Linked DNA regions of Lytechinus pictus. The protein of the gene in region 1 interacts with the protein of each later gene in a biochemical or structural test. Links are inferred from orthologs where the notes say so. Each region holds a gene or a part of one and is shown in the gene's direction. Other genes may lie near its edges. The genes, in order: leucine-rich repeat serine/threonine-protein kinase 1-like and eukaryotic translation initiation factor 4E-binding protein 1-like.

Region 1 (8,166 bases):
TCAAATTATATTTTTCTTTCATGAGGACATACAACAATATACTACCTAGGCGATGTTTAGATCACAGCCCCAGGGGAATAGGTACTTAGGAGAAACCACAAATCACTGATAATAAAGTACATGGCCTATGGGAAAGTTGTCCTTGCCTCTTGTCATAATTTACTTACCCAGTTGCCAATTTGAAATCTACATAGTCATAGAGATCTCAATTTTAAAACAGCCATAACTTTCTTATTGCTTGTCCGATTTCTTTCAAACTTTCACCATTCTGTTCTATTTATTTTTCTCCTTTCAAACACAACATATTATGACCAAGGCTGGATTCCCCTTTAAGAGCGACTTTGAGAATGACTGGTGATCCTTTCATGTGGTAAATGGTGTGCACCAAAATGTTCATCGGCGATGGTTAAGCGCGTAAGAAAGGTTCACCAGTCGTTCTTAAAGTCGCTCTTAACTTACGAACAGCTTCATGAAACAGCCCCCTGGTACTAGAAAGAGTTTAATTAGACCATGTGGTTTGAGACAATATGTAAACTTGACAAAGCGGCTGTAGACCAATCAGCACTTGTCCCTGGAAAGCACCCAAATGGTATAAAATTTGCCATCAAATACCGACGGTGATAATATTTGCTCTAAATGGTGACACAACATTTGCTCCTGTGACATTTGATCCAGGCTTAATTTCGTCTAAGATATAGGGTTAGGCCGGGTTAGTGTTGCAATAGGGTTTTACATGTATGTTTAGGTTTAGGATTAGGTTTAGGGTAGGGTGTAGCATTATTAAAAGCCAGGGTTGAAGTTGGTCATTCGATTACACATAGTGTGTGGAATCTTTAGTAGGTCCATGATGGAATTTAGAGTCTGAGCAATTGTTTCAGGAGGAAATGTCATGGAACCCTCTAAATCCCTGTTCATCTTAGCCAAACCTTTGTTTGATAGTCAACTAATCCTTCTTGAGTCTGATGTGTTCACAGTATGTTAACATAGTAGAATATCTGAAGTGTGACTTACACTTACACTGTGGAAAACTCTAAAGTGTAAGAATTCAGTGCGTTAACTAACAGTATGGATTATGTGGCTTTGATTCACACCAGTTAGAACACTGTGGACAATTCTACAATTGGAGTGTTCATAGTGTATTCACCCAGTAGAGTATATGGATGTGAATTGTGATTCACATTGTGGAATAGATAATTTCAGACTGTGGACACCTAAACAGTGTGGGATCACTGTATTTTCACAAAGTGGACTAAACATAAAGATGTGATTCGCACTATGAACAGAATTTTAGACTAAACTACTCTACAGGTTTAGCTAGGGCCACAGTGAAGATGCTATTCACACTGTGGACAACTGTACAGTGTGTGTTTCCACACTTCACAGTGCACGGATGCACATAGTAGACTATGGAAAGATTTGATTCACACTGTTGAAATGCTCAAATTTAACCATGAGAGGAGAATTTGACACTTGACGACTCAACAGTGTGAAGGGTCACAGTGTGTTCACACTGTTAACTATTTCACACTGTTTAACTGCTCAAATTCAAAAGTGTAATGGGAATATCAGACTGTGGAAAATAAAAGTGTGAATGTTCACAGTGTGTTCATATAGTGGACATATGCAAATGTGATCCATGCTGTTTCAGATTATTGGCTACTCACTTGAAAACGTGATTTATGCTGTTGAAGATTATTTTACACTGGGCAACTCACAGTGTGAGGGATCACAGTGGGTTTGCACAGTATTGGACTGTGTGGAAAATTTATTCACATGGTCAAAATGGTGATTTATCAGTGTGTGCAACTCTTCAGTGTGAGAGGTTGCAGTGTGTTCACTCAGTGAACTGTGTGAAGATGTGATTTGCACTGTCGAAATCCTGAAATTCAACATTTTCACACTGTGGATAACTCTAACTGTGTTCACTTAGGAGAAAACCACAAATCACTGATAATAAAGTACATGGCCTATGGGAAAGTTGTCCTTGCCTCTTGTCATAAATTACTTACCCAGTTGCCAATTTGAAATCTACATAGTCTTAGAGATCTCAATTTTAAAACAGCCATAACTTTCTTATTGCTTGTCCGATTTCTTTCAAACTTTCACCATTCTGTTCTATTTATTTTTCTCCTTTCAAACACAACATATTATGACCAAGGCTGGATTCCCCTTTAAGAGCGACTTTGAGAATGACTGGTGATCCTTTCATGTGGTAAATGGTGTGCACCAAAATGTTCATCGGCGATGGTTAAGCGCGTAAGAAAGGTTCACCAGTCGTTCTTAAAGTCGCTCTTAACTTACGAACAGCTTCATGAAACGGCCCCCTGGTACTAGAAAGAGTTTAATTAGACCACGTGGTTTGAGACAATATGTAAACTTGACAAAGCGGCTGTAGACCAATCAGCACTTGTCCCTGGAAAGCACCCAAATGGTATAGTGGACTATGTGAAAATGGGATTCAAGAGCTCTGTTAGAAAGCTCAAATTTAAGAGTTTAAAGATGAATTCACGTTGTTTCCCACACACTAAACTTCTACTGCTACATGAATGTGAACACTGTGTGACACACTGTAGAACTGTGTTCTTTCCAATAGGGAAGCTATCTGACACCACCACACTATTCAAGCAGTACAGAATATCAGCATCACACAATGCTCAAGACTCGTCGGGTCGAGGTTAAAAGCTATAATTATCTTGTCTTTTGGCAGTCACATGACAGCTGAACATGAAGCTGTGAATGCTAATCCCAGTGTCTTTAGAGCATTCATTTCTTCTGTAAGCTTGAGTAATTATGGGCGTTCCCCTTGGCTGCAAGATAGTGTTACTCTTTAATATGCAGCCACGAAAGAATGGAAATTAGCTCATACTCTTGATGGATCTAGGAACATTTTATTCCATTATTATTATTTTGATTTTTGTGTTAAAGCCTGTCATGTTAGAGAAATCTTGACACATTTAGTTTGTGGTTTTTTTCGCTCCACGAAATGTTCATAATCTCAGTGGAACTTCCAAGTAGTCCTGAAAAAAGTGGGATCAAAGAAAGTCTTATATCTTGTCCTTTATTTATCTGTACAGTGTACAACTTAAAGTTTTGATAATTATTCTGTCATCTAAAGCAATTTCTAATGTTAAGATCATACTGCTATTTGGCTATTTACAGAGAATCTGTCCTGGCGACTTTTTTGAGGGGGGGGGGGGGTCACATATAAACCGGATCCAGGTTCTTTAATATGAGTTGCTTTAGGTCAAGCAGGTGCTGTTTAAATTATCTTTGGCTTAATTACAGATTTTAAGCTGATGAAATGGTCTTGTGTGATTTTCACCAAATTGACGGTTGTCCTGCTCTTTGTGTGCTCAGGGGGATGTAGATGTCTGACTTCAGATCACATGATTTTAAAATCACATGATCATTACGGTAATTAAAGCATATGGAAGTATCTCCATGGTTAAAGGGATACCCTGTTGTGGGATAGATTGAAAAAAAAAATTGTGGGCTTTTAAATTGTCTTCCTGTAAAAAAACCCCTGAAAAAAAAGAAAAAGATATAACTGACAGATCGGCAAAAATGTCATCAAATAATTAGAGAGTTATGATTTGTTTAGGTTTGATTGAGTTTGTGATGTCATATGCGAGCAACTGCCTAATATATGGCATGTGATATGAATTCCATAAATTTACTTTTTTTATGGTACATGTTAATCATCATTGTAAATATAGTTTTTCGTATAAAACTGACTACGAAATGATTTGTGTGTCTGATGATATTGCATGCAAATAATACATGTGTGTTATCAATTTTCAATTTTTGAGAATTAGTATTATATTATAGAATTAACATATACATGCGTGCATATGATCTCACACACTCAAAAGTTTTAAATTCTATTTGTTTACGGATCTTCGCTAAACCTTCACTTACATGTTTATTTTGTTGTTTTTCTGCCTTCATCGAAACAAACTTTATGAGAGCTGAGAAGTGACAGCATTTCTAAAAAGGATGGTAGACACTCACTCCTTGGCCCCTTTTCACGCTTCTCCACCTTTTTCCACCTATTCTACCCTTTGAGTTTTTTTTAGAGCGTAGTAATCCATATGATGTCATAGTAATTTTTGCCATGTAGGTGGTATACAAAAGTCATGAACATTGCTTGGCTACTTACAAGATTACAATGTACTTCAGCCTTCCCAACAGGCATTGCTTTGTCCAGATACAGAAATTTGGAGCAAGACCCATGCTATGCCCTAGTTTTAACAAGTTGTCATAATTTCTTATTGACCCTCCTTCCCTCTTTCACTTCCTTTAATCATAACACTGTGTGCCCCCCCCTGTCTTCCTGCCTTGACATACATACTGTACATCCCAGGCAGGTCTAACACTCACCCCCCCCCCCCCTCTCTCCACCCCGCACTCCAAATTAGGAAGCCTGTAGTCATACATTAACACTCATTGGTTAATAATCTAATGACTACTTAATTCTCATGATCATGAATTGTCTCGTGTCGCCTGTCTGAATTAGAAGTTGAGATATTTTGGGTAACACACACGCACACCAGGCATTATCGCCCTGGCCTGCTCTCTCTCTCTCTCTCCCACGGAGTCCTGTTTTAACGAACTCTTCAGCTACATCATCTACATGCTAACGTGGGCATGATATTGATCACTCATATTTTTCTAATACTTTCACCTACTTGTAACACTTTGTGTTTGGAAGAGTAAACCTTAATTTTTTTAGAGCTGCACATTTATTTTTGGAACCCACATGACAAGAGCGGGTCACTGGGCCATATTATATATGGCAGAACCAGGATTCAACAGTTTTTCCCGCGAAACCCGAGGATAAGAATCTGTCTGATTTGTGTGGCTCTTCTCCATGCCATGTGCTACCTAGACTTCATATCATCTCAACAAGCACTTCCATATCACATGATCAAAATGTAATCATGCAATGTCGATACCTGTAATGTCTTCGAGTTTCTCTCCAAAACTTAACTCTTAATGATTTTCCAGACAGCCACTCCCAGGAATTCATTAGTTTTGATGGTGTTTATGGACCCAAGTATTGATGTTGAATGTTTGTTTCTGTTTGACATTAAAGCCGTGTAATTATTCTCTAGTTTCCGTAATCAATTCGCTCCAGCACCATGCAATGGTTGCATCAGGGTTAGTTCGACGGATGCCCCCAAAGCATCAGGAAAGTGTTTGTTGCCTTCCCAAACTATGATATAGCAAGCCATTTTATATTCATTGTCACTGAAGTGAAAGGATATCACAGGTATCTTCCTGTTGCTTGTTTTTGTCTCTTATCGCAACATTGGACACCTGATAACAAGGAAGCGTGTTCAATAATCTATGTTGGAGGCTTAGCCATCGTAATCAGTCGTCATTTATAGAATTGTCTTCCTAGATCATGGTGATTGTGCGTAATATTTTTCTGATGTCTCTGAAGAGAAATGTCCATCTGCAGATCTAGTTCTAAAGCTAATGTCAGTTTGCCATCTACTGAGCATAGGATACACTGGGATATCTCAGTCGGATTCTGATTCTGGTGTCTTGGAATTGTTCTTTTGGAATTCCTGAACAGACTACTGGTGAGGTCAAATTATCCTGCTGTGCAGGACCAAAATACAGGGATGAACGAAAGCAGTTTGGCCTGAACATGTGCAAGAGTGAACATCTTGTGATCCACTGATCAGTGATGTGTTGGTGAATAGTCAATGAATGCCTTTTTGCACTGATGTCCTCACTATTAACATATGTTGTGAAAATTAACCTGTTCGCAATGATTGCAACGTGCTTTGTCCAAGTGTTGATTTTCAGGATGTGATCATGTTCAAACTTCAAAAGGAAAGAAAGGCCGATGCTTAATAATATCGTTGACTCTACTTTATCTTATTACAAGGTATTGTCAGGCTCACCGCCATATTTGTGCAAACTGGGTAAACTGTAACTGAATTGGCTGAGAGGTTTCTTAAGGGATATTCTTTGACCTGAGCCGGAGTTCAGGTTGACTGTTCAGTAATCCATAAGCTTTTCCTGCATTGGCATTTAGAGAGGAAAGTTGCCCTGTCTGTCCATGATGTCGTCATCGTTGACTCTGAGATGTAAGAGGAATTTCAGGTCGTTTGGCAAAAAGTGGAGCTCAAGGTCATGGAACTATGGTGAAGGGGAAGGTGGGAGAAGAAGGAAGAGTGAGTATTATACTTCATTTGTGGGTTAGTTAAATCGGTTTGCTCTTACCACAAACAAATGCTCCTCTGCGAATCAATCTGAAGATTTAGGTGAAGGTCAGATTTGTGTTAAGAATTTTGTTTAAGAATCATACCTGTGAGGATTAGGGTTAAGGTACAGTTTCAAGCTCGGGTTTATTTGCTTAATTTTCAGTTGGCGCATTAGTCACAGGAGCAAAGGTCATGGAACCTACTATCTACTTGTTTGGACCTTGTTATTTACTTTTGTTCTTTGCTATTTACTTGTATTGCAATAATAATAATAATAATAATAGTGATATCTTATTGAGCGCGCACACCGTCCAGAGACGCTCATGGCGCTAGCGCAGCAACAGTTCCTTTAGATACAAATATTTTTTACACGTACATTACAAACAGCTACTTGATTTACTGTTGATGTTGTAAATATTGGTATTGAAACGAAAAAAAGATTAATTAATTCATTCATTCATTCATTGAAAGATGAAAAAACTTGTTTGGACCAACTACCTCTTTGTTATCATTGTTTGGAACTACACAACCACCCCTGCAACCAACTCCTACAGCTGCTGGCAATCATATTCTTATTAAATATTTTATTGTTATTTTTGTTTACTCATGATATAATTCTGTTCTACTTCTACTTGTTAGTTGTATTTTCTTTTCTTGCTTTCTCTTGTCCAATCCTCCTCATCCATGTTCTCCCCCTCGTTCAACATCTTCCCTCCCCTTTTGATATTCTTGTCTTCTTCTTCCTCCTCCTTCTCTTTCTCCTTTGTCTCCTTCTTCTCCTCCACCTCCTCCTTCTTCTTCTTCTTCTCCTCCTCTTTCTTCTCCTCTTTCTTCTTTCTCCTCCTCCTTTTTCTTCTTCTCCTCCTTTTTCTTCTTCTTTTCCTCTTCCTCCTAATCTTCACCTCCCCTCTTTTTCTTCCCCATCTTCTAGTCCTCTTTGTACTTCTTTTATAAATGTTTGATGTGCACTATCTGCACTCCCTTCAATGGCAAATTCCTCTATTTTTGCACTGCACTACTGTTCAGCTTTAATTTGGTGAGGTTTAATAAGGGAAGGCTCGATTCTGTAGTACGAAGGAAATCATAAAAAAGGAGGAAATCATATGACGAGCTTGTTAAGGATGTACGTAATATTTTGATACTTTTTCAGGAATATTAATAGGTCACTTGGAGTGCCAGCATTATCTGTGTCATGAGCAGTAATCATACCTCCATATATTCAGATTCAAGATTAATTCATTACATTCAATAAAATGATACAAATTTACAAGAATTTACATTTACATACAATACAAGTTATGAAAACACAAAAAGGGAATTGATTTCCCATACAAGGAAAAAATAATCCAATATGGAATTGGGTCTCTGCAAAAGTTAGAATAAGACTTGAACTTGTCAAGGCTGTGCCCCAAACTGGAATTGAATATTTGTACAATTGACAATTGTTGAGGTTTTTAATCATAAAGCAATACAAAATAAAGGTGGTGATTTTTTACCTGATTGCTAAGAAAGCATAAATGCTTGTAAGCAAGCAACCAGAGGACCAACGGCTTAAGGTCCTCTCCGAAGGACCTGGTACTGAGGATTAATGCCTTACCAAAGGGCACTAGCGCACCAAGTGGGAATCGAACCCGGGTCACCAGAATACGAATCCCCCGCTCTACCGACTGAGCTATCGCGCCAAAGGAATTTTACAACTTTTACAAAATTTTATAAACATAAAATTAAGTTAAGAGGGGGTGAAAGGTTAAATATTATTGTATGAATAATTACATGAATAGGGATTGCATGTAGGTTAGTTTTTTTTTATAAGTTTTTATAGTTTCCTTTTATAACAATTGAAATTACTAGTTTGACGTATATATTGAGGAAGTGCATTCCATACAAAAGGTGTATTATGTTTGACAGTAAAATGAAAGTTTTCTTTCATTTTAATATACATGTACAT
Region 2 (7,489 bases), on another chromosome or scaffold:
AGAAAAAAAAGAGAGATGAATTGACCTTATATAGGGGAAAACCTTTTTTTTTTGCTTGTTAATTTTTGGGCGGACAAATTATTGACCTTAAGTTAAATCTAGGGGAAAACCTTTTTTTTTTATTGTCAAATTTCAACTGGGTAAAATGTGCCACCCTTTTTTAAAAATTATGGATCCTGTAGCACCACTTAAAATTTCAACTCTGGATCCACGCCTGACATGTGTATGGAATTGTTCTCTCTGGACATGATGTGACATGTTATGTTTTTGTTTTTTTTACATATGGCTGATTCATTGTTCTTTTTTTCAGCATGACCCAGGATGGTTTAAACCATGGACCAATAAACTATTTACAAGACCTCATCACCATCACCTATGCACCGACCATTTGATGATCATAACATTGTCATTATCAAAGTGAATGGGCAGTTCCAAACTAATTTTCCTTTTTTTAATTAAGGATATATTTCAGGCTAGGCAAGCATTTGCATCACAGAATCGCTCTGTTACAATGTTTATGAGCACTTGGATTTCTGTACTTCTGAACTGCCTGGCATGCTTTCAATCTCTTCAATCAATACCTTTCACATCAATGCAAACTAAAATTGTATATTTATGAATTATTAGTGGAAGTCCTACGCTTCTTTGCAAATTTACCACAAAAAACCTATAAATATCTACTATACAATTAACAAAACACCAATACAGCACTAAATAAGGGAAAATTAAGTGAAATATCAAAATAAAAGCTGCTAGTGTTGTTACAAATTGCATTGTCATATATCACTTATCCTTAAATCTTTGGTGCATGGCCCCCTGTTCAATATAATGATTTTAAATAACAATGACATTAATGAATTATAATAATGATGATGAATGATAATAATAACAATTATAATAATAATGATAATACATAATAATGATGATGATAATATTTATAATGATAATAATAAAATAATATGAATTACAATTTTTATAACAATAATGATAATAATGATAAAATTATCAGTAATAATGAAGAAGAGTGATTATTCATGATAATGATGATAACGACAAGAAAAAAAAATAATAATAATGAAAATATATCAGGGAAATATGCTTTAAAAAAATTCTTACCTGTAACACTTGGAAATTTCATTGGGAGTTTCTTTGACATTATAGTGAGTGCATTATGTGAGAGGTCAATGGATGATAATTGTGTTTTCCTCATTAGATGGTAAACTGCTTGCGGAACCGACTCCAGTAGACAGCTTGATAAATCTGTTGAGTAAAAAGAAAAGAAAAGAAAGAAAGAAAAAAAACATTACGATACTTGAATGGTCAATGATGCAAATAAATAGGCCCTACCATCAGTGGCGTAACAGGCGGGGGGGCAAGCTGCCCCCCCTGGCGGAGCTCACCGGGAAAATACAAAAAAACGGGGAGAAAAAAAAAAAAAAGGGGAGGGAAGGGAAAGGGAAAGGAAAGAAAAAAGGGGAAAGGGAAAGGAAAAGGGAAAAGAAAACTAAGAAAAAACATAAAAAAGGGAAAACGGAAAGATAACGGGAAAAGGAAGGAAAAAAGAAAAAGTGAGAAAGAACAATTCGCCCCGATATAAAAATACATTAGCATGATTAGTAAGACAGGGAAATAAATTAAAGATGACAAAAAGGCAAACAAAAGCGGGAAATAAAGGCAGAATGGAATTAGCCAAAATCTTAATTGGAAAATAAAGAATAGGGACAAGATAACGTACACTACCGGGCTGCCGAGGATTGAGATAACGAGCGGGAAGAAAATTGATGGTATAGCATAATGTCGTATGAAAGTTTATCATAAACTTGCTAAATCTCCAAAGGCTCTGTCCAAGAGTCAAGACCCCGTGCAGTGGGGGCTCTTCATCTGTAACCTTTAATGGGTTCTATAACGGGCCCCTATATGGACCCTTCCTGCATTAAGCTTTATGTTGAAGCACTGGCGTACCGGGGGGGGGGGGGAGTTCCACAGCCAAGGGGAAATATAAAAAAATAAAGGAGGCAGCGAAATGGGATGAATGAAAAAAAATATATGACATGATATTTGCTATAATGATGTAAAAATCTATCACATAATTAGAATTTCATTTTAACAGGCCATTTTTTTTCTGGCTCGCTTCGCTCGCTGGCGACTTTTTACAAATTTTCCCACATTTGCTATGGTGTGCCCCTCACAATATTTGGATGATTACGATACACAACTGTATTGAATTTATGTGTTGTGTTAAAGCTATATAAATATACACGCAATTTGATTAAAATAAGTGGCCATCTGTAAGGTTTAAAATAGCTTTGATATCAAGAGGTTACGGGGCTCTGCCCTGGACCCCACCCATAAAGCACTGTTATATGGATGAGTTTGGACCATGGCCCCAAAAAGTTCTACAACCAAACAAAAAAAAATGAGGAAAGAAAGGAAAGTGTATTATATTTTTTTGAATATCACGTTAAAATCTATCTTCATGTTAGATTCTCATGAAAAGGTGATTTCTTTATCTCGCTCGCTTCGCTCGCTCGGGACCTATATTAAGCTACTTCTTGCCAGAAGCGCCATACTCGGCCCCCCTCGAGCATATACTCATATAGAGCTTCGCCCTGATGCTCACAATCATAACAAAAATCCTGTTCACCGTGGCGTACAAAAAAGAGATAAAAAAGAAGAGGAGGGTGAAATATAATATCATCTTTTTAACATTATGTCAAAATCTATCACAAAATTGGATTTTTGCAATAAAAATGTCAACATTTTTTGCTCGCTTGCTTCGCTTTTATATATATATTTGCCCGATACGCCATATCGCCCCCTCAAAATTTTTGCCTCATGAAGCCATTGCCTGTTCCATGTATGACCGGGAAATTTTTGGCTCTTGCCCCCCCTGGCCACCGACCCCTGTTACGCCGCTGCCTACCATTATATGCCAACACCTACAATGTTCCTTGTTTTGTTTTTTTAAGATTGAGAGAGTGCATATATTATAGCTCTTATTTATTTATTTCACTACATTTACATGTACAAAATACTGCAATTAAAAATTACAAACTACTGTGCAAGACATATTAATAAACTTATAGGCCCTCAATCCTCATGTCTTTACAATTATAAGTAAGATAAGAACTTAATCATGAATATAAATCAAGATCCTCTTTTATTTTGATTATTAATCCATCTGATGTTTTGGTTCTTGAATCTTCAGGTAGGCCTAACTGTACTGGTAAATGAGGAAAAATAGGGGCATCAATAAAACAATAAATGGACGTGTCTAGCTAGCTGCCACGCCCATCTCGGCACTTAAGAGAGGGAACGTCCGGACAGAGTCCAGGCTAGGCCAGCGCCCCCGCCGCCCTGGCCTGATGAACACGGCCTCGCCTTCGGGAGGCCGAGGCGAACCGATATATAGTCAACAGTTCGCTGAATTGAAGGAGACTAGCCGTTTCATTTTCATGTATTTTCCCCTACAACGTTAACCCGAATATTCAATTTCAATAGAACGAAAATATCACCTAAGTTTCTATCTTCTTGCGCCTTTTCACATCTTAATACGACTCTTGTCACTGCTTCTGCTGCCATTTTGGTGAAGATTGCAGTTTCAGTCCGTCCTGATAATTCATCTAAAATAGTCTGAACTTTCAACTATCGCCTTGAAAGGTCATAGCGTTGTGTGCGTGCTTGCTGATATCACGTGGTTTTGTTTACATCATCTTGACATGCTATCGACAAATGTCGTCGACCCATTGGCACAAATCCAAAGCGTAAATTCCCATTTATCTCCATAAAAATCCTTTGAAATTAGCAGATATTTATTCTAATTACATAAATACAGAATTTGTATTACATTTCCTCTCAAAACCCTGATTTTTTAAACACATAAACTAAATTGTTGAAAAAATACATTGTTAATTTCCACAAGACAATTTTTAGTTGATAACTTCAACCTACCCAAATGCACTTGCCAATCTAGTAAGAATATAACATATTCCAAATATTAATTTAAAAATATCAATTTTATTAAGTTTTTTTACTTTTAAAAATTATTTGCATTCAATTTTATTTTTATTTTTTTCAAAATATTTCAAATATGTACATATGAGAAAATCGCAATTCTGTATCACTCACAAAATTGACAAAACTGTTACCGTACCTCCTTGCTGTATCGTCCGATGCGGATTTCCCCTAAATCCGTCATCACAATATTTACCTTCAAAAGAACCCGAAGAACCGTCCATTCCTTTGCAACTTTAGCTGCCCCGCAATCTTCTAAAATTCAAGCAAAATGTCAGCCCCTGCAGCAAGTCGTCAACTCAGTGCTGGTCGGGATATTCCAGCGAAAAGAGTAGCCGTCGACGACCCATCGCAGCTTCCACAAGATTACAGCACAACGCCAGGAGGCACATTGTTTTCAACGACCCCGGGAGGTGCGTACCGTACCGTACACACACAGGAGTACAGCCTACAGGCCTGGCTTCGTCTTCGACCCTCCCGATCCCAGGCCAGTACTAAGTCTAAGCCTTTAGCCCGGGACTAAGCCATAGTTAGCTAACGTCCGCATTTACTTATTTAGGGCCGATTTGATCCAGGAATTTTACACAATGTCTGCAATTATTGAATTAATAATAGCTAAAAAAAAAAAAAAATCAAAAATCAAAAATGGACTATGGAGTCAGATTAGGCCCTATAGCCTATAGGCTATGGCTATGTAATTATTGTAATAAGTTATTGCACTCACATCGATTCTATTTCTATTTAAATCTAATTAAAAATAAAATATACCCACCGTTTCAAATTCAAGGCTCAGCTCTGTGATGAAAATACAATGTCAAAAATATTAGTAAGATATCAAGGAGTCCTCAAGGCTAGGTTTATCCTGAAAAAAAATGATAAATAATAGATCAGCATTAATCATGTTCGGGCTAATCGCTTTAGTTTGATGAGTAAATGTCCAAACAGGTACTATACCAATGCGCATGAGCAGGAATCGCAATTGCTTGTGGGAGTAACTTTAGAACATGTAGAATCCAGTGTCATAAGTGATTATGAGAACAACCTACCTAGAACCCTCTATACTAACTGAAGTTAGAACGAGGCATCACGCATGTATCACATCTGTGCAGTGATAGATTCATGACATTGGATTAAGCCTGCTTGTGTACTAATGCTTGCATACAGAGGGGAAAATGAGGATGCTGAGATGGGGAATTCCCTTTTTTTTTCACTCTGCTGAGCAACACAACACAAGCTTCCTTTATCCTCTTGTAATACAAATCTTGAAGCTGAGATATTTCATATTGACCGAGAAATCAATATGGTTTGCCATACAACATGTATTACAATTACAGTCCTGGTGAGTTTTTCATAAAGCTGTTTCGAAGTTACAAACAACTGGTGATCCTTTCTTGTGGTAAATGGTAGACATCAAATTTTCATTGGTGTTGAGTTCCTAAGAAAGGGTTACCAGTCGTTCGTAAATTTGCTTGTTATATGAAAATGCCCACCTGAAACTTGAGAGTCTGGTTACTTTAGTCTTGTGCATCTCCACCCTTCTTTTTTTCCCTAGGAACACGCATCATCTACGATCGTCACTTTTTGTTGAATATGAGGAATTCTCCACTGAGCCAGACTCCTCCTAAGAACTTGCCTTCAATTCCAGGAGTGACCTGTCCAGAAGTGACCAGTGACAAACCTAATGGTGAAAGCAAGGCTCCAAAGAGTAAAACAGGTACACACTATACATTTCAATATTTTCAGGCAAGGCCACTTTCATAACATCTGAAGGTATGTTTCTGCATTACAGCTCAAATGGAAAAAAAAAATTCTAAAAAGGCACAATAAATCTCTGAGGCTAATGAGAGGGCCGCTAAGGCCAATGAAAACGGCATCAACCGCTAGTGTTGGGTAATATGTCTAAATTCTATATCATCGAAATTATGTGATATTGAAAAATATTATTTGATAATGATTTTATGAATATGTTGATATATCACAGTAACACGATATGCCCAAACTATTATTATGAAAAGATAATCACTAGTGATTGACCGCATGCTGCTCTGTATTGCTTTAAACCAACTCAGTTTAGTTGACCAGTGCCCAAATGCCCTCTTTTCAAGGACAAGCACCAATGGAAGTCTTCTTTCATTTCCCCCTTCCCTGCTCTTGCGGAATCACTACTCTTAATGGACATATAATGAATTTTCAGACTCGGCGATATATTGTGTTATCAGCGAAATTTTTCTGGCAATAATCTATTCACATTTAGATCAAATATCGACCAGCACTATCAACTACCATGGCTTCTAATGGTCTTGGGTAGTCTTGGGTTTAATTAATAATTTATTAACAGCAGGGAAGTTGTATACATGGGAGGGGGGTATGTGCCCACTTCCCTTTTTTAACCAAAAAGTTGGTGTCTCCACTGTCTTAAGTCGCTACCTTATAATTTTTTTTATATTCTTTATGTTGTAAGAAAAAAAATCCTGGATTTGTGATTGTCAACCAGACACCTAGTCAAACAAAAACTTACAGAACTTCATGAATTCACAGGCCTTTGGATTAAGTCTATATTAGTAGTTTGAACACAGATGTTTCAAGAATAAATAGCACTTGATGAAAATTTATTATGCAATGTGACAACTTTTTTTTGAAGATTTCATTTTTTGAATTGTAACAAAATTGTCATGTTTAGCCGGAATGAAATATAGGCATGCACTTGTTATGATTCACACATGTTTCATTTCTCTCTCTCTCTCCCTCTCTCTCTCTGTCTTATTCTCTTAACTAGACACTGCTGATGATCAGTTTCAAATGGACATCTGAGACGGAGGACCAACATACAGATGACAACTGTCTAAGAAGGCTAGTTAAGACAAAATAAGAAAAGATGTATACTGCGGGTAAAGAAGATAAATGATCCTGAATTGTTTATTTCACCATCGCAGTTCTGTTTGTTTTGTTTACTTAAGTTCCTGATGGGGACAAATCTGAATTTATTCTCAATATTATGGTATCAATCATGTCCTTTCATGTAAAATCAAAACCTTATCATAAATATGGGTATTTTTTCCAAACATATTCTCCAAAGATAAGCTAGATTGAGAAAAAAAAACTAAGGTTCTATTAAAATCTCCTGAATAAAGATGTTGTTATTCAAACAAACAAGGGGCAAGATGCTTAGAAGTGTAGCATGAATATTAATTATGATATGAATATTAATTATGATACACAAATATAACACTAATCAGTTCTCCTTTGTGTTTGTTTTTTTCTTCTCTCTATCAATACAAAGTACATATATGTTTACAACACAGATATTTAGGTGCAATACATTTTTTACAACAAAGGTGTCATATTTTTTTTTCAGTTCAAAATATCTGTTTTCCATAAATATTAAAGCTTAACTTTGCAATCTTGACAGGCAAAGCCGTTCAGTCAAAATATTGTATTATTATATTTTCTTTTAGTAAATAACTCTCTTTGCAAT

What was found.
Region 2: of the proteins of leucine-rich repeat serine/threonine-protein kinase 1-like (region 1) and eukaryotic translation initiation factor 4E-binding protein 1-like, one has a biochemical effect on the other in vitro, tested with the Drosophila melanogaster proteins (2 studies listed by BioGRID). The link is inferred for Lytechinus pictus from reciprocal best matches to the Drosophila melanogaster genes Lrrk and Thor.

Annotation. Positions count from the first base shown.
Region 1 is NC_087248.1:18,463,203-18,471,368, forward strand, and holds the start of leucine-rich repeat serine/threonine-protein kinase 1-like, read left to right. Parts: upstream 1-5,134; 5' UTR 5,135-6,073; coding exon 6,074-6,188; intron 6,189-8,166.
Region 2 is NC_087262.1:3,356,113-3,363,601, reverse strand, and holds the start of eukaryotic translation initiation factor 4E-binding protein 1-like, read left to right. Parts: upstream 1-4,146; 5' UTR 4,147-4,285; coding exon 4,286-4,427; intron 4,428-5,566; coding exon 5,567-5,728; intron 5,729-6,790; coding exon 6,791-6,825; 3' UTR 6,826-7,489. Other genes in the region: leucine-rich repeat protein SHOC-2-like, read right to left, coding at 1,117-1,260, 3,516-3,582. UniProt on the Drosophila melanogaster protein: Repressor of translation initiation that regulates eIF4E1 activity by preventing its assembly into the eIF4F complex. Hypophosphorylated form competes with eIF4G1 and strongly binds to eIF4E1, leading to repress translation.